Linked DNA regions of Coturnix japonica. The protein of the gene in region 1 interacts with the protein of each later gene in a pairwise test. Links are inferred from orthologs where the notes say so. Each region holds a gene or a part of one and is shown in the gene's direction. Other genes may lie near its edges. The genes, in order: AHCYL1, CDKN2C, GEM and SLC23A1.

Region 1 (4,872 bases):
CAGGGCTTTGCAGCTTTGGGGTTGTAGGATGAGCCCCCCATTGCTCGCTATGGGGGGAGCCCCATGTGGGCCCTATAGGGCCGTGTTTGCTGACAAACAGGATTCCTCGAGGGCAGCTGACTCAGCCCAGCCCTTCCTCTCCCCTGCAGCCCCGGGGGTTTCCCAGCTCCACATCCCCTTCCCAAGGAAGTGGGACCTATATATATCCGTCCGGATCTGGGCCATAGTGATTATGGTCTGTGTGTGTGTGTGGGGGGGTGATTGGGGTCAGAGGATGTTCGGGTTGTTCTGTGGGGGGGCTGGGGGCAGCGAGTCCCTGCCCTGATGGAGGGTTAAGCTGAATGATGGCTGTGGGGCAGTGGGGATGGAGGAGAGGCCATGGGGAGGGGGGGAGAAATGGGGGGAGAAGGCACGGGGAGGAGATTTTGGGGGTAAAACTGACAGTTTTGGGAGCCCTAAGGGTGGGTTGGGGGGAGCAAAAGCTCAGAGCCCATTTTTGGGAGCTTTAATGGGGGGATGGAGCCAATCCATGTTCCTACAGCAGGGAGGGGGATCATCCCTCCTAAAGGAGAGCCCCCATGGGGGGATTTTTACACCTTAAAAGCAGGTGAGGTGCCGAGATGGGGCTGAAAACCCAAAGTCTGAAGTGGGGGGGGGGAGGGATGAAGCATCAGCACTGGGGTGGCTGTGGATGGGGCACCGTCGGACCACAGCCTTCCCTATGGGGCAGCAGGGACCACAGCCCTCCCTATGGGGCCGCAGACTGCTGACGGGGCAGCGCCGTCCCGGAAAGCACCGCGGGGCCGCGGTTCCCCACTGGGGGTTATAGGGACGGAACGGAGCGATCCCGGCCACCCTGATGGGATGGAGGGTTGTGTCGAGTGAGGACCGGCCCGGGCCCGATCTGCGGTCAGACAGAGCAGTTTTGGTTAAGGGGAAAACTATGAGCTGCGATGCTGCAACGCTGCTGGCTCTGTGGGTTCATCGCTGTGGGGCTGGAGGGGGGACGAGCAATGAGGGGAGGTACATGTGTGTAACCCCATTGCTGGGTATGGGGGGGGTAAGGGTGGGAAATGGGGATCCCAAGGGGGAAGCGGAGCCATTCAGTGCTGGATGGATGGATGGATGGATGGATGGATGGATGGATGGATGGATGGATGGATGGATGGATGGACAGCAGCACCATCAGCCCGTATCAAGGAGGGACGTGGCCCTTGGGAGCACCATGGGGGGCTGAGCTGAGGGTGCTGACCCCCCCCCCCGTGCATTACAGCCCATCCCAGCCCGTCCCCACCATGATGGATGCTTGTTCCTTGGATCTGGCTGCCCCTAGAGCTGTGCTTGGGGCTGCCCTGACCCAGCGCAGAACAGAGAGCTCAGCCCTCCAGGAGGATGGAAGGGAGGTGGGTGGGGGCGAGGATTCTCTGGGTCCCTTCCAACCCAAACCATTCCATGTCTCTGTTTCTCAGTTTATTTATGACTGAATCAGATCATAGTGGGGTTAAGCTTCTTTATTCATTCTTTTATCTGTTTATTTATGCATTATGTCCTCATCCTCATCCCATCCCATCCCATCCCATCCCATCCCATCCATCCTCCATTCCAACCCATCCTCCATCCCAACCCATCCATCCTCCATCCCAACCCATCCCATCCCTTCTCACCTCATTCCCATCCATTTTCATCCCATTCCCATCCCACCCCATCCCATCCCATCCATGCCCATCCCATCCCCCGCCATCCCCATCCACCCATCCCCATCCCATCCATCCCATCCATCCCATCCCATCCCATCCCATCCCATCCCATCCCATCCCATAGTCCTCCCGTGGCGGTCCATTCCCCCCTTCCACCACTAGGTGGCGCCATGGTGCCGCTCCCGTTTCCATCCCGTCTCTTCTATCTCCCCGCCTCACTCATCCAGCGGCCGCGTGATGACGTCATCACGCACTAACGTCACTCCAGAGCCGCCCCCGGCGCCCCGCGCGGTGCCCGCAGTGTCCGCCGCATCGCGCTGCGAACCGACCGGAACCGAACGGAACCGAACGGAACCGAACGGAACCGAACGGAACCGAACGGAACCGAACGGAACCGAACCGGGGCGGCCCATCCCTCCTCCTCCCCTTGTACCCCTCCGTTCCGCCTCGAGACACGATGTCGGGCCCGGAGCCCAGCGGCGGTGAGGAGGCCAAGCAGGCCAAGGAGGCGGAGGACGCTGAGAAGTTTTCCTTTATGGCCACCGTTACCAAAGCGCCCAAGAAGGTACAACGGGATCGATAGGGGCTGGAATGGGGCCTATGGGGCTGTATGGAGCTGTATGGGGCTGTATGGGGCTGTATGGGGTCAATATGGGGCTGTATGGGGCTGTATGGGGCTGTATGGGGCTGTATGGGGCTGTATGGGGCTGTATGGGGCTGTATGGGGCTGTATGGATCTGTATGGGGCTGTATGGGGCTGTATGGATCCGTATGGGGCTGTATGGGGCTGTATGGGTCTGTATGGGGCTGTATGGGGCTGTATGGGGCCGTATGGATCTGTATGGGGCTGTATGGGGCCGTATGGATCTATATGGGGCTGTATCGGTCTGTATGGGGCTGTATGGATCGGTATGGGGCTGTATGGATCCGTATGGGGCTGTATGGATCTGTATGGGGCTGTATGGATCGGTATGGAGCCGTATGGGGCTGTATGGAGCCGTATGGGGCTATATGGATCTATATGGGGCCGTATGGGGCTGTATGGATCTGTATGTGGCTGTATGTGGCTGTATGGGGCCGTATGGTGCCCTATGGATCTGTATGGAGCCTTATGGATCTGTATGGGGCCGTATGGATCTCTATGGGGCCGTATGGGGCCGTATGGGGCTGTATGGATCTGTATGGAGACTTATGGATCTGTATGGGGCCGTATGGAGACTTATGGATCTGTATGGGGCCGTATGGAGACTTATGGATCTGTATGGGGCCGTAATGGGGAGACTTATGGATCTGTATGGGGCCGTATGGAGACTTATGGATCTGTATGGGGCCGTATGGATCTGTATGGAGCCTTATGGATCTGTATGGAGCCATATGGGGCCCTATGGATCTGTATGGAGCTATATGGGGCCGTTTGGATCTGTATGGGGCCGTATGGATCCGTATGGAGCCCTATGGAGCCCTATGGAGCCCTATGGAGCCCTATGGAGCCCTATGGGGCCATATGGGGTCGTATGGATCTGTATAGGGCCTTATGGATCTGTATGGAGCCGCATGGGGCCCTATGGATCTGTATGGGGCCGTATGGGGTCGTATGGATCTGTATAGGGCCTTATGGATTTGTATGGGGCCGTATGGTGCCATGGGGTGAGAGCTGAGTGCTGCCCCACCATGTAGGGCTGTTGTCGGGGCTTATAGGTGGGCACATCGCTGTGTGCTGGGCTCAGGGTGTCCCCATTGGGCTCAGTGCTTTGCTATGGGTCCCCGTGTGCTCATAGTGGGGACACAGCCCCCATTGGGGACCCCCCTATGGGTGGTTATGGCAGCACTGGGATGTGATGGGAGCGGAGGGTTGGAGGCTGTCGTGCCCAGCTCTGTTTATTCAGGCTTTGGATGTGGCCTGAAGGAAGGAGCGGAGGAATGTGGAGCTGGGAGCTTGTAGGGGGGGTTTGTGTTCTTATTGCTTTTGTATTTAATGGAGCTGGGCTGGTCATGGAGCTGATGGTAACAGGGTGAGGCTGTGGCTGAGCTGGGAGCAAGCAATGAATCCTGGAGCATCATACCCACGGAATAAGAAATAACCTCAGTGTATCCAGGGGGAATCCTGGTGTTCTCAGAGCTCTGTCTGTGCTCGGGTTGGTTTGGGATCCTTCCTTACCTCGCTGTGCTGCTGTGTGCATTGAATTGCGTTGCATTGCATTGCGTTGCATTGCATTGCATTGCATTGCACAGCACCAAGAGCAGCCGTCACACTGCAGCGCTGTGATGGTGGAGGTGCCCTGAGCCACGGGAGGCATTTGATGCTGATAACATCAGCGTTGCATTGAGATCCTGGGGAGCTTGCAATGCAACTGAGGTCAAGGAACAAAGCGCTCGGGGCTGCTGCTCTCCTTGCATGGCTGCTTTGTGCAAATAGGGCTCAGTTATAGGGGAAACCTTGGCAGGAGGATGAAAGGAGAAGGATGGAGAATCACCCTGCAATACAGCGCTGAGTGCCCCCAGCTCTGGGCATTTCAGATGCTTTCCAATTGCAATGGAACCATTCAAACGCCTCTTGGTTTTAATGCAAGCCAAAGCTGCTTACGGCTGCTCCGAGCGTGGCCAGCATTGAAGATGGCTGAGAGGTGGAGCTGGAGGACACAGTGTGTGCCCTGATACTGGGATGGAGCTGAGCTGTGTGAGCTGAGCTCCTCAGGGAGCAGCTTTGCCTTGTCCCAGTGCATGGGGTGGGTGTCCCCAGCTTGGAGCCCCCCCTTGAGCACAGGGGGAACACATGGGCTGCATCGGAACCCTTCAGCATCGCTCTCCTGATTTGCTTAAGGTGAAAAAGTGAAACAGCAGGAGGTAAGAGATTAAAAGATTACACGCCATCGGATTGAAGTCGGAGCTGCAGCCGTCAGAGCTGGGGGTTCCCTGCAGCAATGCGGCCGCTGCTGCTCCAGGAGCTGCTGGCGTCGCCTGCAACCTCTTGCAGCTCCTTTGCTGCTCTGCTTCCCGGGGACAAAACAGTGGGAGCCATTGGGCTGCTGGGCAGGGAGAGCTTTGCAGGCAGAGGTGAGCGATGCTGAGCCTTGTGCTTTGGTGGGGGGTGCTTTGCTTTGGGGATGGAGGAGAACAGAAGGGCAGTGCGTGCTCTCCCAGCTCCCTGGGTGCTACTTATGCTGCCTGCACCCAC
Region 2 (3,997 bases), on another chromosome or scaffold:
CCCGATCCTCCCTGCCACGGCTACGGGCCGTTGCCGCTCCTTAGAGGAGCCGGGCAGAAAGGAGCTGTGCATCCCCCCCCCCGGCTCCATCCCCTCTGTGAGCATTTTCTCCCCCCCCCGCATGTGGCAATGCAGCCTCACTCCCCGAGCCTGCCTTCCTCGAGCCTATTAACTCCCACTTCGACCAAATACACTTTATAAATCCACCAAAAATGCACCCCGAGCCCTCCAAAAATACTCCCTAACACATCCCAATAATTTTCCCAACACAAAGGAGGGCTCGCACTGCTCCTATTTTCCCTCCCACTCCTGCTCAGAAGTGAAAGAGCAGTGTGCTCAGAGCTGTGCTTCCCCGAGCCTCTGCTCCCTGCACCCACTCTGCCCTCACAGCACCGGGGAAGAAGTGAGATTTATTAATTAGAAGAATCATTAGAAGAACTTTATTATTATTTTTAATAATCTTAAAAAGCCTAATTATTATTATTATTATTATTATTTTACACTAAGAGACTTTTGAGGCAAATGCTTTGTGTAAGTTCTGCTCAGTTATTTCTCATCTAACTGTAACATACATTTTTGTTGCTGATTCTTTTTTATTATTATTATTCGCGAGGTTTTCAGATCAGTTTAAGGAAATCCAGGAGGGGTTTTTACTCGGCTCTGCCACTCGCAGTGCGGCTGATGGCACAGACAGAGCAGTGCTGCGCTGGGTGCCCGGCTCAGGCTCTGAGAAAACAAAACAAGAAGGAATAAAAGATAGAGGAATTTGATGGGAATCGGTGCAGGCCGTTACGTCCCAAATAGGGGGAAAAAAAATGTGTTCTAATTTCGAATGATTTTATGATGCAACCGAGAGAATGTAATGAGGCATTCGATTGAATTATTTCTTTATGTATTTCTTCCTGACCCAACGGCTGGTTCTGAAATAGGGATGTGTGTAACAGCAGAGCGTGGCCGTGGTTTGTTTATATTAAAATGACAGAATCCTGATCGGATCATAGAATCCAGAACCACTGAATCATTGGTTGGTTTGGGAAGAAAATGTGCGGCACTTCGCACCGCTCCTTTTCACTTCTTGTCAGGTGACACTGAGACTCCAGCACCGGGGAGAACAGTTTCTTGGAGCATTTATTTTTCTTAGCAGCCAGAACTATGGCACGGCACAAATATTTGCTTTATGATAATGCGCAGACAATGCAAACACCTGAGGGCTTATCGAAGCACATCGCGCATTTTCTATCGCTGAGGCACAGTCTCTGTTCCTCGGAGACCCGCAGCCGGCACCGAGCGGTGCTGCAGAGGAGCCGAGATCACTTGTAGGGGAGAAGGTCGCTCCGGCTGCAGGCGTTAATCTCTGAGCCAAAGCTGTCAGCACCGAGCCACCAAACCTCCCCTAACAGCACCACCAAACCTCCCCTAATGCCGCCGAGGTCAGTGAGGAAAGCTTGGAATTAGACGTACCGTCGGGCGCAGCGGGGCTCGGAGCTGTGGGCTGAGGGCTGGGGCTCCGCGGGCGCTGACGTCTCACTCCGTCCCGCAGGTGATGAAGCTCGGCAACCCCGAGATCGCCCGCAGGCTGCTGATGAGCGGAGCGAACCCCAACCTGAAGGACAGTACCGGCTTCGCCGTCATTCACGACGTAGCCAGAGCGGGTTTCCTGGACACTTTGCAGACCCTGCTGGAGTTCCACGCCGACGTGAACATCGAGGACGCGGAAGGCAACCTGCCGTTACACCTGGCGGCCCAGGAGGGCCACGTGCGGGTGGTGGAGTTCCTGCTGCGGCGCACCCCGAGCCGCGTCATGCACCAGAACCGCCGCGGGGACACGGCGCTGGACGTGGCCCGGCTGTACCGGCGCAGCGCCGTGGTGCGGCTGATGGAGGGCGGCCCCCCGCCCGCGGCCGACACCGACTGAACCGGGCCTCCTCGGACACTGCGGCTCCCAGCCTCGATCTTTGATGATTTTCTTTTTTTTTTCTCCCCCTTTTTAATAACGTTTGGTTCAACCCTACTTCTATATATATTTTTTTCTTTTTTTTTGTTGTTGTTATATTTTTGGAATAGTGGATAGTGTGAGTTCAAGAAGTTGTAGAAGTGGGGTTTTAGCTAAGGAACATTATTTCAATGCACGGTGGCGGCACGTTGTTACCGCCGCCGCTCACATCACTCCTCACTCCGCCGTGCCCACGCCGCAGCTCACACCGGGCTTCCAGCACCACGCTCTGCAGTGTATCCCCGTTCGTTACTCAGCCATTAACCTAAACGTTGAGGATCCACCGCTTAATGACCCCTTTCCGCGCCGGGGGAAGGAAACAGCCCGCGGGGATTCTTCCCCCCCCCCCCCCCCCTCCCCCACACCCCCGGCTCAGCCTGACGCGTGTTGGGGTCGGGTGGGGACCGGGAGCGGCCCGGCCGGGGGGGCACCGGGCCCGGGAGAACCGCTTCGGGCATCAACCTCAGTCTGACACTAACAGGAGCTCTTAAGAGTAGGTCGCTCGCTTTCTAAATGTAGATGACACTTTTCCCCTTTGTGTATTTAAACTTTCACCGAGCTGCCTTTGAGTGTAGTTACCAGAAACAACAGAAGTGGCTTTTCTTTTTTTTTTTTCTTTTTTTGGCCAGAGGTTTTGAGGCGCTCAGCTGGGCACTCGGAGCAGAAAAGTGCATTATTCTCCAGTTTCCAAAGAGCACATAACCCCGGGCAGAGGTAGGAGCACAGAAATGGGGGGCTGAAATCCTCCAGCTCCTCCTGTCCCTGCCTGAGCTGAGCGCTGTTGCGATGCTCTTTAGAAATGATCGCTTCGTACCGCCCGCTTTGTTTTGTTTGGGGAAGAAAAAAAAAAGGAAAAGCCAAACCCCACAGGATGATGACGGCTGTATCTTACAGGTATATTTGGATGCAGTGGAATTTAGGAAGCGACACTTGAGGTACTGGTGAGGTGATCTCAATGCCTGCACCTAACGAGCAATGGAATCCCTGAACTGTTTCCCTTGCAGAACAGCCGTCAGGGTCCCACGGCCGAACCCCCCGTTAAGGCGGGGAGCAGCGGGAGGGGCGGCGGACGGGAACCTCGGCGTGCTCTGCGCTGCGGGGTCGGACTGTCGATGGCACAGGATGGGAAGGCACACATCAATGTGAAAGGAAAGACTGGCTGCAAAATAGCACCTAAAAGACAAGGGCTGTACATTGCTTTACGTTTTCTTTCTTTAAAACAAACAAACAAACCAACCCCAAAATTTATGTACACGGTCCCGCAAAATGAACTACCACTGTTTTCCAGTATCAATAACTGCCTGGACCTGTCCGTCCCGTCGCTGTACTCTCACAACCACTGTGTTCTGCGTTCTCTGATTAAAAACCTCTGTGCACCGCAACGCCTCGCGCTGTTCTGTGGCACATCTATTCCCGAGGGGCTGCGGACCCCTTCCCACCCGCGGGGGGTGGCAGCCCCCCGGGGCCGCGCTCACCTCCTCCGCTCTCCCCGACCTGTGCAGCCCAAAGCCCCCCACCCCGTCCCAGCTGCGCTCCGTCCTCGCTCTGCCCGCACCCCCCGCCCCGCCCTCCCGGTCCCTCGGGATGCTCCCGCATCGCGGTGCGGCTCTCCCTCCCGCAAAGCCTATTTCTCGGCAGCGGTGTGCTACACTTGGTTCACTTGGTACACTTGGTACACTTGGTACACTTGGTACACTTGGTACACTGACGCCTCTTCCCCCGCCCTTGGCATCGGGAGGGGAATGGATGCTGGAAACTCTCCGGGGAACCGGAGTGGGGGCTTCCCTATGTGCTGCGGTGCTCCCCAGTGGGATCCTTCTGCCCCAAAGGGTTCTGAGCTCGGACGCGGTTCAAGAAGTGTCTTTGCGACCCCGTCCTCGCGCTCTGACAGCAGCAGAATGTCCCATTTTACAAATCCTGTTGGTGACAACGTCAACAGGAACGTTCAGCAGCGGATGCAAACAGACAGATGGAACGAAATATTTATTGGAAAGCTTTTATTGA
Region 3 (4,836 bases), on another chromosome or scaffold:
CAGGATCGCAGAGCCCAGTATCAGTCTGTGGAGGTGTGTTTGGTAATGCAGGCCCATGGTCAGCCTTATTGAGTAGAGTTCCATCCACAATTCATTAATTAACCTGCTCTTATGCCTGGTAAGCAAATAGCAGGGCATGTATTGTGGGATCACTGGAGAGCTGTGTTTGCTTTACCTTGATTGCTATGAAGACGACACACAATGTCTGGCAATCGCTGATCTAACACGAGCCATAACTAAACGCAAAGCCTTTTCTGACTGTGATTCATTTCCGCTGTCTGTGCTTTCTGCTATCATACAAGTTAAACATTTGGGTGAGACGTTAGAGCCCACGGTTCTGCTGGCATCCATCTGGCCATAAAACTCTGCAGCCCTGTGATGGACAGGTTTTGCATTATTATAGGAGGTGACGAGTGACAGGCGACATAAAGAGAACTGAAATCCCTTGAGGGTGCAGCACGCAGCTCTGCAGCCATCCGCTCCCCCACTTCATTTACATTTTGCAAAAGGGAGGAGCAACTTCAGAACTCGGTGTGCTGACAGCAAAGTGCTCTGCTTTGAGACCCACTGGCCTTGCCATAAACATTCCCTGACAGGGGTTGTGCCGTGTTTTGCTGTGCTGTACAGTGAGCACAAACAGTTGTTGTGTGCATCCTACGCAGAGCTGCAGGGCTTGGAGCCAGGGCAGCCACTGCTGAACAGAGGTGATCCAACAGGATGGGCTCAGAAGATCCCTGAAAATCCTCATGAAAAATGCAGAAGTGCAACAAAGCTGAAGGGGAGAGAAATCAGGCATATCTCAGTGGAAGAGTTTCATAAAGGGCTGCATTATCAGAGGAAATGTTCTGTACAAGGCTTATGTGAGACACAAAAATGCAGAAGTCTGTGACATGAGTGCCAGGCAGTACCAAGGGAAGGGATGTTCCACCCTGCACAGCGCTGGTGCTAAAGCTCAGCTGCCAGGGGAAGGGCAGTCACAGGTTTGGAAAAAGAAGGAAAAATAGTGGGAGTTTGCTGTAGACTTCTGTATAACTGATGGTATCCCTACCAAGTATTTTGTGGAGGTTTATTTCTTTGCTCTGTTAATTGTGATTTCCACACAGGCTGTTAGAAATGGCACCATTTGAGGAGCAGGCACATGCTTTGTGGTGCATACACTGTATAGCCATCTCTCCTAATAAACTGCAGACAGAATCTGCACCGTGTCGCCCGGGCTCTGTGCTCTGTAATTCACATCCGTCTTTGCTGGCGTCCAGCTGGAGCAGCACTCAGTCTGTGGGCAGCCGTTCTGTTGAGCCCTTGCAGGAGGAGTGCTGCAGCAGGGGTGGGAGATGGCTGGTAGAGCCTTGGAAGGTGATGGAAAAAGTAGGATTGTATGTTTTGGATCTCTTTAAAAGACAAATAAACCAAACCAAAACAAAACAAAAAAAACAAAACAACAACAGAATAATATTCATGCTTGTGAGATAATTCTAAAATGATATTCAGATCTTTTATTCCACAAAAAAACATCTTGTCCAGTGGGGAGTTAACTGCATTTTGCAGACAGAGAACATCACACATTTACTGCATTATATTCATTAATGAAACACGTAGTTTTAAAAACACCATTAATCCTGCTGGCGTTTGAATGCAGAACTGAGCAAGATGGAAGGACATGTTTTTTTTTAATTTTTCCACTTGCCTGTTTTCCTCATGTCAGCCCCAAATGTGTTTGTTTTACTGGCAACACCAAGACAATCATATGATTTCAAGTAAGTCTTTTGAGGCTGTTTGTAAGTTTTTGCTTTTCTGCATGTCTGCTTCCTCCCAGTTGGGGGTTGGCTGTTGGATGGAAAGGCCAACCACGTCACGGAAAAGCCCTGTCTCCGATCAGATGGGCTTAATATAAACCAGGTTCGCTGAGAAGGAATTAAAGAGGCAGCCCGTAAGCGGGAGGGGATTTACTCTGGCAGAGCAGCTCAGTGTAACACAGCCCACGGAGCGGAAGGCAGCGCGAATCCGGAGCTGACAGCGTGGACGGTCACATACAAGTAAGGAATCTCTGGCCACTGTGCATTGGGTCCTGTGTCTGTGGGGTTTGTTGTGGCTTTGTAGACCCACACAGCTGAGTGCAGTGCATGCCATCAAACCTGGGCTTGGACTGCGACGTGATTGTTTATTGATGGTCATCATTTGTTTGGGCTCTGATATCTGACTGAATTGGAATTGCTTTTTCTCATCTGGTCTTTTCACTGGGGAAACTGAAAGAAAGTAATGCATGGTAAATCAAACTGCGGTTCCTATCTGACTTTGTGAAGCAGGCTTTGCTTGATGCCTAGTTTCTTGTCAGAATCTAGTTTTGCCACTAAGCACTGCGTGTCACAGAGTAAGTACTGTGAGTGCTGTAATAAGATCAGATAGAAAGTGGTTTTGGTCTGCTTATTCTCCAGCCTGATCTATGTTCATTCTAAGAAGTTTTCAGATAGCTTTGTGTGAAAAGGAGTAGTGATCCGAACATGTTGTTTTCATGTGTTGCTGTGCTTGTTTTCATTCACCGCTTGTTATTCAAGTTTGAAAGTTCATTTCATGGGCAGCTCTCCTGCCTACTGACATGGAGAACAGAGCTGATAAAATTCAGATATACTCCAAAAAGCAAAATGTCCAAATAGCCACAGAAGTAACATTCCTAAAAATGGTAGCTGGTGGCCCGTGAGAATGACATCACTGTGCTCTGCCGCCAACCCGCTCAAAACTGAGTTTGCTAATTTAAGTGTAATTAGGGGCCATGCTAAGGTTGGAAGAGCTAACCTATTAGCTAATTGTGAAACAGATGAAGTTTCTGATTTAGTATTTGTAAACTTATGATCTTTTTCTGCCAGTGCCACCTTCTGTAATGGCTTGAACATATACCTCCTCTGAAAAGTCATTGGACTTGGTTGTGTCCCTGCTAGCAGCCAGAAAGCCACTGTTTTAAGCTTATCCCGACATAGATGAGACCCAAAGACATGTGCTTGCTTGCATGGCTTTCCTCTCCTATGGGAGCTGTGTAAGATTGTGAGTTTGAGGTATGAGGGATGGGTCCCTCTGCTTGCCCCAGGAGGCAGGAGGGCAGGGAGCGTTGCCTGCAGGTGCTGCCCATCTCTTGATGGGGATGCAGCCATATGTGAGCTCTGCTGAGTGCTTCCCTGCCCATACACTTAGCACTACAGGAAACATGTACAGGCTAAAGACAGAGAGGATTAGTGTATGGGGGTGGCATCATCCCCAGGAAAAAGCCTCTGACTCACAAGCTAGAAATATTTCTTTGCATACTAGTACTAGCAACTGCAAAAGTGTGGAGTCTCCTTTTTTGTTGTTGTTGTTGCATACTGTATCCCCATAGAAGAGCAGGACCTGATGCCTTGAGATGGTGTGTTTGTAAGTATTTTGAGAATAAAGTGTATGGCTTCCACATTTCTCACCAGGGGTAAAAAAATGACCCTCAACAACGTTACCATGCGTCGCACCCACCACAGCAGCCTGCAGCAGCAGCAGCAGCGATGGAGCATTCCTGCTGATGGGAAGAACCTGTTGGTCCAGAAGGACTCCAATGAGTACAATGTGCAGAAGCGATACACCATCAGTCCTGATGAATACTACAGAAGGAGCTGGTCCTCGGAGTCATCTGACTCTGTCATCTCCTCTGAGTCCTGCAGCAACTGCTACAGAGTGGTGCTGATTGGGGAACAAGGTGTGGGCAAATCGTCGCTGGCCAACATCTTTGCAGGGGTACACGACAGCATTGACAGCGACTGCGAGGTGCTGGGAGGTAGGTCACCATGCTCTGGGGTCTGTGTTTGCTCACCACCAGCCATGGCAGCAGAAATTGACGTGGAAAATCAGAAAGGTCAATTAATGTAAAATTGACCTAGCAAACATCTGGATCTGATTGTCAAAAGCAATTCCAACACATGCATCTCTCTTAAGAAAACAAGAATAAGCAAAGTAAGCTACAACGAGGATGGTACTCTCTAATAACAACTCAAAGCATCTGAAAAGGAACAATACAGATTCTCATGCTTTTTTATTTCAAAGAATTTGTTGGAAGCTGCCATTCAGTATTCATTCTGGTCCTATTCTTGTGTCACCACAGGCTCCAAAGGGCTATTTCCAGCTTTCTATAGGGCAGAGGAAAACAAGGACCTTTCCTTGTGGTCCACAAGAATGTAATGCTCAGAAATAATATGCAATGAAAAATAAAAAGCCCTATCCAATTCTCCAAAACATTTGCCATTATATGTTATCTCAGCCTTACATATGAATATGTTGTGTCAGCATAGGCTGTAGGGAGTCTGAGCAAAATATATCTACCCCTCATTTCATGTTCCCGTGTTAGTGAGGATTTTGAAACCTTCCTTAGTCCCAAAGACTAGTCATTGCAGAAGGTGAGGCTGTGGCACCCAGCCATGAGGGTGTGAGCAAGGTGCTGTGGAAGAAGGGACATGCAGTGATAGAAGCCTGCTGTGGTCCTAAGGACACAGGTGCTGTCATCTTGGTAACACGTGCAAGTTGCTGGCTGGTTTTGCTATTCAACACACAGAGCATTTCTCTCCTCTATCTGTTCCGCTTGTGCTGATGCCCATGACAGCACGGAGAGTTTCTGAGCTTTTTTTTTCCAGCCTTTGGTGGAGCATAGGCAGGACAGGTTTTTTGGTTCTTAAGCCAGGATTTACTTTGCACATCCTTGTCAGATAGTTTCCTTCTTCATGAGAAGCAGTATGGATTCTTCATTCATTTGCACTCCCAGCACTACTGCTTGGAGGATGGCCATGACAAGTTTTCAAGGCCAGCTTTATGGAAGTATCAGGAAACCTG
Region 4 (4,805 bases), on another chromosome or scaffold:
AGCACCCCCGCAGCCCACCGCCTCCTCCCCGGCACATCTTGACCTGCAGGGCCAGCCACCGACCTCTGAAAACCCTGGAGGCTTATCTGGAACCTTCAGCCCTGATCCTAAGGGTGAGGGGACACCTGCAGCTGGGGGTCCTGACTGCGGGTACCTGGAGAGCCCCTATTACATCCCCACAGGGATGCGGGCCAGCCCCAGCCCCAGCCAACCCCCAGCCCGTGCCAGCCCTGCCAGCGCCGAGAAGGGACCACTGCCTCCCTTGTGATCTCCAGATGCAGTGCCAGCCCACATCGCCCCCAGCCCTGGCTGGAGGGACCCTGTGGTTGTGGCTGATCTGGTGGTGGGTATTGCCTGGGCCTGACCATCATCTAGAAGGAAAAGTGATGTTTTCAGCCCCGGTGTGTTCCTGAAGTTGTGGCAGTGTGGCCACAGCAGCAAAGGGACCACGTGGATGGCCCCGCTCGGCCCAGCCTGCAGCTCCCATCCCAGGGTGATGAATAGAAGCGCCGCAGCCACAGCACGGACTCCTGGAAATAGCAATAAAGTGCAGGGCCAGCATTAACCCTACAAACCCACCCGAGTCTGAGTCGTCTCTAAAGGGGACACGAGGGGCACACCCTGAGCAGAGCCTCATGCACAGCAAACGGTGCAGGTGCAATGGTGGGGATGGGGGTCACAAGCCCAGGGGGAGGAGGAGGTGAGACAAACCCAGGGTTGATGTGTGGGAGGATGGGGGCAGGACTGAACGTAACCAGGATTCTGAATTAAACCCAACACCAAAACAGGGGCAGATGCTGCACTGAGTGTCAGCCGGATGCAGGTGCATGGCTGCGCATGGGTGCCTGGGGGTGACACAGTCCGTGCCCGCCCCCATTGCTTCCAGCATCACCCAGCGGTGCCGGGGCAGAATCATGCAGGCAGCGCTGGTGCTGTGTGTGTCCCTGAGCCTGGCAGCAAGAGCCGGGGCTGAGGATGCATGTGGGGGCCCCGAGGTCCCCTCCTCATCCTACAACATCCCTGCGCCACAGATGAGTGCTGAGGACCGGCTCTCACCCCACATGCCTGAAGCGCTGCGCTGCGACGCCTGCCACGCCATCGCCTTCCAGGTGCAGGGGGGCATCCCCAGCAGCAGCCCGGCACCGCGCTGAGCGCTGCTGGGGGGTGAGGGGGGTGATGGGGTGGGAGAGGGGTCCCGGTGCATGCAGGGGGGTCCCGGTGCATGGCCACAGCGCGGCCACTTTCTGCTCCGCTCCTGCCGCAGCTGGAGGGGCGGCTGAGCCGCGCGGAGGCGAAGCAGGGCAGGAAGGAGCTGAGCGAGTCCGACTACGTGGAGGTGCTGGAGCAAAGCTGCGTGCAGGACTGGGAGCTGTGAGTGCTGCGACCCTTCCCCAGTGGGCAGCGGGCGGTCGAGACCCCAACCTCACATCCCTGCAGTTACGGCGTGCAGGAACTGAGAGGGGAGCGGCGGCTGACGGGGCCGGGGCTGCCGAGGCAGGAGGCGATGAGCGTGGCCATGATGGGGGGCCCGTGGCCGGGCAGGTGAGCGCTGCAGGGTGGCACGGAGGGGACACGGGGACGCTCCGTGCCCCGACACCTCGTACCGCCCGCAGGCTGAGCAAGATGTGCCACGGCCTCGTGGGCGAGCACGGCGAGCAGCGGCTGTACCGAGCGCACCGACGGGGCCACACCGCGCTGCGGGAGCTGCTGTGCCACGGCGAGAAGGGGCCGTGCGCCCACCTGGGGGCGTCTAAAGCAGGGGGCTCAGCCCCCCCTAAGGCGCTGCAGAACGAGCTGTAGCCAGCAGCCTTCACCTGCCGGCACTGCGGGTGGTTAATGCTTAATGCCTGGTGACCTTTGGAGCCGGACACACGCGGAGGGGACTCAGGGAGGTGGCACTGCCGGCTCCAGGCCCGGGTTGCCGGGCTGCTGCTGTCCCCATCCCAGCTCCGTGTGTTTGCTCTCGTGGGGACATCCCCGGTGCCACCCGTGCCCCGTCCGCGCTGTTACTCTGTAACCCTCCGCCTTAATGTTTGACCGAAGCGGCGCGGGCGGCGGTGCCAGCCCTAATTAAAGCAGTTAATCGCTCATCCCTCACCACCACCACACTCCCCGGTTTCACAACCCGCAGAGTAAAGTCCTCCCCAGCACAATATAAACCACCGCGTGGTGACATCCCCGCACTGCCCAGGATGGGGACCCGCTCGGGAGAACTGCCCCAGCCCCAGGTGACCGCGGCTCCCACCCCGACCCCTTCAGCTGCCCCCATTGGGCGCTGGGGACGGGGCAGGTGGGGAGGGGCACAGCGCCTCTGGGTGGCAAAGGGTGGGGGGGGCTTGGGGGGGCGAGGCCCAGGGGACACACTGGGGCCGTGGTGGGATGCTGTGGCTGGGGCATGGCACCCATGGGGGGCTACAGTTGCTCCGGGGACAGTGGGGACCCCACCACCGTGCACTGGGTCCCCCTGGGGCGGCACCCGAGGGCCCGGATCCCGGCGGGGGTGGCCGGGCGGTGTCCCCACATCCCCAGGAGGCCGCAGCCAGGTTCCCATGGCACGCCCGGCACAACACCGATCCACCCTCTGCCTCTCCCTGCTGCCAGGACGCCAGCCCGGCCCTCGCCCCCTCTGGCCCCCAGCGACCCCCGGGGGCGGGCAGGGTGAGCACTGTCCCCATCCCTGTCCCTGCGCCCCTTGGGGCTGCCGGTGGGCTCAGCGCTTCCCCTTCAGCCGTGCCCTCCCCAGGGCCCCGCGGCGGACCCCGGCCCACCCCCAGCTCGGCGGCAGTTCGACATGTTGTACCGGATCGAGGACGTGCCCCCCTGGTACCTCTGCATCCTGATGGGCTTCCAGGTACGGCACAGCCCCCACGGCCCCAGAGCCCCCCCCGCCGGGTCCCATCTGAGCCCCCGCACCGCTGTGCCCCCAGCACTACCTGACCTGCTTCAGCGGCACCATCGCCGTGCCCTTCCTGCTGGCTGAGAGCCTGTGTGTGGGCAAGGACCAGCTGACCGTCAGCTACCTCATCGGCACCATCTTCACCTGCGTCGGCATCACCACCCTCATCCAGACCACCGTGGGCATCAGGTAGGGCTGCTCCCCCCCCGCCCCTGGTCCACATCCCCCCAAGGGCTGCAGCCCCCCCTCCCACCCCGCAGGCTGCCGCTGTTCCAGGCGAGTGCTCTGGCCTTCCTGGTGCCCGCCAAGTCCATCCTGGCGCTGGAGAAGTGGCGCTGCCCACCTGAAGGTAGGAGCGGGACGCAGCGATGGCGGCACACGCTGCCCATCAGCCCTGTGCTCACCTCCACCCTCCTCCACCCCCAGATCAGATCTATGGCAACTGGGTGCTGCCGCTCAACACCTCCCACATCTGGCAGCCCCGCATGCGGGAGGTACGGCCCAGCCCTGCCCCACGCGGCCCCACGGCTGCCCCGCACCCGCTCACGTCTCACCCCACAGATCCAGGGGGCCATCGTGGTGTCCAGCCTGGTGGAGGTGTTCATCGGGCTGCTGGGGCTGCCTGGCGCGCTGCTCAGCTACATCGGGCCGCTCACCGTCACCCCCACCGTCTCCCTCATCGGCCTCTCCGTCTTCCAGGCTGCAGGCGAGCGGGCCGGCTCGCACTGGGGCATCGCTGCGCTGTATGTCACCACCATGAGCATGAGGGTGGATTTCAGGCCCTTGTGCCAACGCCGCAGGTATCCCTGGTGTCCTCAAGGTCCCGGTGTCCTCATGGCCCTCTGCTCTCTGCAGGTCCATCGTCCTCATCGTGCTCTTTGCGCAGTACCTGCGGAACATCACCGTGCTCCTGCCCGGGTACCGCTGGGGCCGCGGCTTCGTCCTGCTGCGTGTGCAGATCTTCAAGATGTTCCCCGTAGGGATGGGGTGGGGGAGGTGCTGTGCAGCGCTGCTGGGGTGTCCCCATCCCCACGTGTCCCCATGTCCACCCACAGATCATCCTGGCCATCATGGTGATGTGGCTGCTCTGCTACGTGCTGACACGCACCGGCGTCTTCCCCAGCCACCCCGACGAGTACGGCTACAAGGCCCGGACGGATGCACGCGGGGAGATCCTCTCGGTGGCTCCCTGGTTCCGTTTCCCCTACCCCTGTGAGTGACCCATGGCTGCCCCACGGTGCCACACAGGGGCAGGGCAGTGGCACACCATTGCTGGCAGCACACACCCCATGGTGGTGGCACGTCCCCACGCAGTGCTGCTCCCCTCAGGTCAGTGGGGGCTGCCCACGGTGACCTCAGCAGCTGTGCTGGGCATGTTCAGTGCCACACTGGCTGGAATCATCGAGTCCATCGGGGATTACTATTCCTGTGCACGGCTGTCAGGAGCACCCGCACCCCCAGTGCACGCCATCAACAGGTATGGCAGCACTGCAGGGATGGGGACTGCACTGCACACCGTCTGTACTCCCATTCTGTGCCTGTGGCTGCTTCATGCTGCCACTTCCTGGTGGCACAGCCCCACACCTCGGGCACGTCTCCAAAGCCACCACAGGGAATGGCACCCTCTGCTCATCCCTCTGTTCATCCCCCAGGGGCATTTTCACAGAAGGCATCTCCTGCATCATCGCGGGGCTGATGGGAACCGGCAACGGCTCCACCTCCTCCAGCCCCAACATCGGGGTGCTGGGCATCACCAAGGTACCACCCGACCCATGTGTCCCCACGGGGTCACAGCCGCCTCCATGCACTGCCTGTGTCCCCGTGTGCAGGTGGGGAGCAGGAGGGTGATTCAATACGGCGCTGGGATCATGCTCATCCTGGGCACCATTGGCAAGTTCACTGCGCTGTT

The links.
Region 2: the proteins of AHCYL1 (region 1) and CDKN2C interact in binary tests that used the Homo sapiens proteins (3 or more experiments, as listed by UniProt). The two-hybrid records come from large-scale screens. The link is inferred for Coturnix japonica from reciprocal best matches to the Homo sapiens genes AHCYL1 and CDKN2C.
Region 3: the proteins of AHCYL1 (region 1) and GEM interact in binary tests that used the Homo sapiens proteins (3 or more experiments, as listed by UniProt). The two-hybrid records come from large-scale screens. The link is inferred for Coturnix japonica from reciprocal best matches to the Homo sapiens genes AHCYL1 and GEM.
Region 4: the proteins of AHCYL1 (region 1) and SLC23A1 interact in binary tests that used the Homo sapiens proteins (3 or more experiments, as listed by UniProt). The two-hybrid records come from large-scale screens. The link is inferred for Coturnix japonica from reciprocal best matches to the Homo sapiens genes AHCYL1 and SLC23A1.

Annotation. Positions count from the first base shown.
Region 1 is NC_029541.1:1,677,727-1,682,598, forward strand, and holds the start of AHCYL1 (S-adenosylhomocysteine hydrolase-like protein 1), read left to right. Parts: upstream 1-1,968; 5' UTR 1,969-2,154; coding exon 2,155-2,262; intron 2,263-4,323; exon of another isoform or gene 4,324-4,541; intron 4,542-4,629; exon of another isoform or gene 4,630-4,751; intron 4,752-4,872. UniProt on the Homo sapiens protein: Multifaceted cellular regulator which coordinates several essential cellular functions including regulation of epithelial HCO3(-) and fluid secretion, mRNA processing and DNA replication.
Region 2 is NC_029523.1:21,378,262-21,382,258, forward strand, and holds the end of CDKN2C (cyclin-dependent kinase 4 inhibitor C), read left to right. Parts: intron 1-1,540; coding exon 1,541-1,915; 3' UTR 1,916-3,375; downstream 3,376-3,997. UniProt on the Homo sapiens protein: Interacts strongly with CDK6, weakly with CDK4. Inhibits cell growth and proliferation with a correlated dependence on endogenous retinoblastoma protein RB.
Region 3 is NC_029517.1:114,174,097-114,178,932, reverse strand, and holds the start of GEM (GTP-binding protein GEM), read left to right. Parts: upstream 1-1,892; 5' UTR 1,893-2,033; intron 2,034-3,446; 5' UTR 3,447-3,456; coding exon 3,457-3,790; intron 3,791-4,836. UniProt on the Homo sapiens protein: Could be a regulatory protein, possibly participating in receptor-mediated signal transduction at the plasma membrane. Has guanine nucleotide-binding activity but undetectable intrinsic GTPase activity.
Region 4 is NC_029528.1:14,268,992-14,273,796, reverse strand, and holds the start of SLC23A1 (solute carrier family 23 member 1), read left to right. Parts: upstream 1-1,835; 5' UTR 1,836-2,192; coding exon of another isoform or gene 2,193-2,228; 5' UTR 2,229-2,379; coding exon 2,380-2,658; intron 2,659-2,743; coding exon 2,744-2,851; intron 2,852-2,927; coding exon 2,928-3,085; intron 3,086-3,156; coding exon 3,157-3,245; intron 3,246-3,322; coding exon 3,323-3,390; intron 3,391-3,457; coding exon 3,458-3,639; intron 3,640-3,751; coding exon 3,752-3,872; intron 3,873-3,951; coding exon 3,952-4,108; intron 4,109-4,225; coding exon 4,226-4,373; intron 4,374-4,548; coding exon 4,549-4,654; intron 4,655-4,725; coding exon 4,726-4,805. Other genes in the region: PROB1 (proline-rich basic protein 1), read left to right, coding at 1-268; MZB1 (marginal zone B- and B1-cell-specific protein), read left to right, coding at 828-1,109, 1,265-1,371, 1,438-1,542, 1,614-1,800.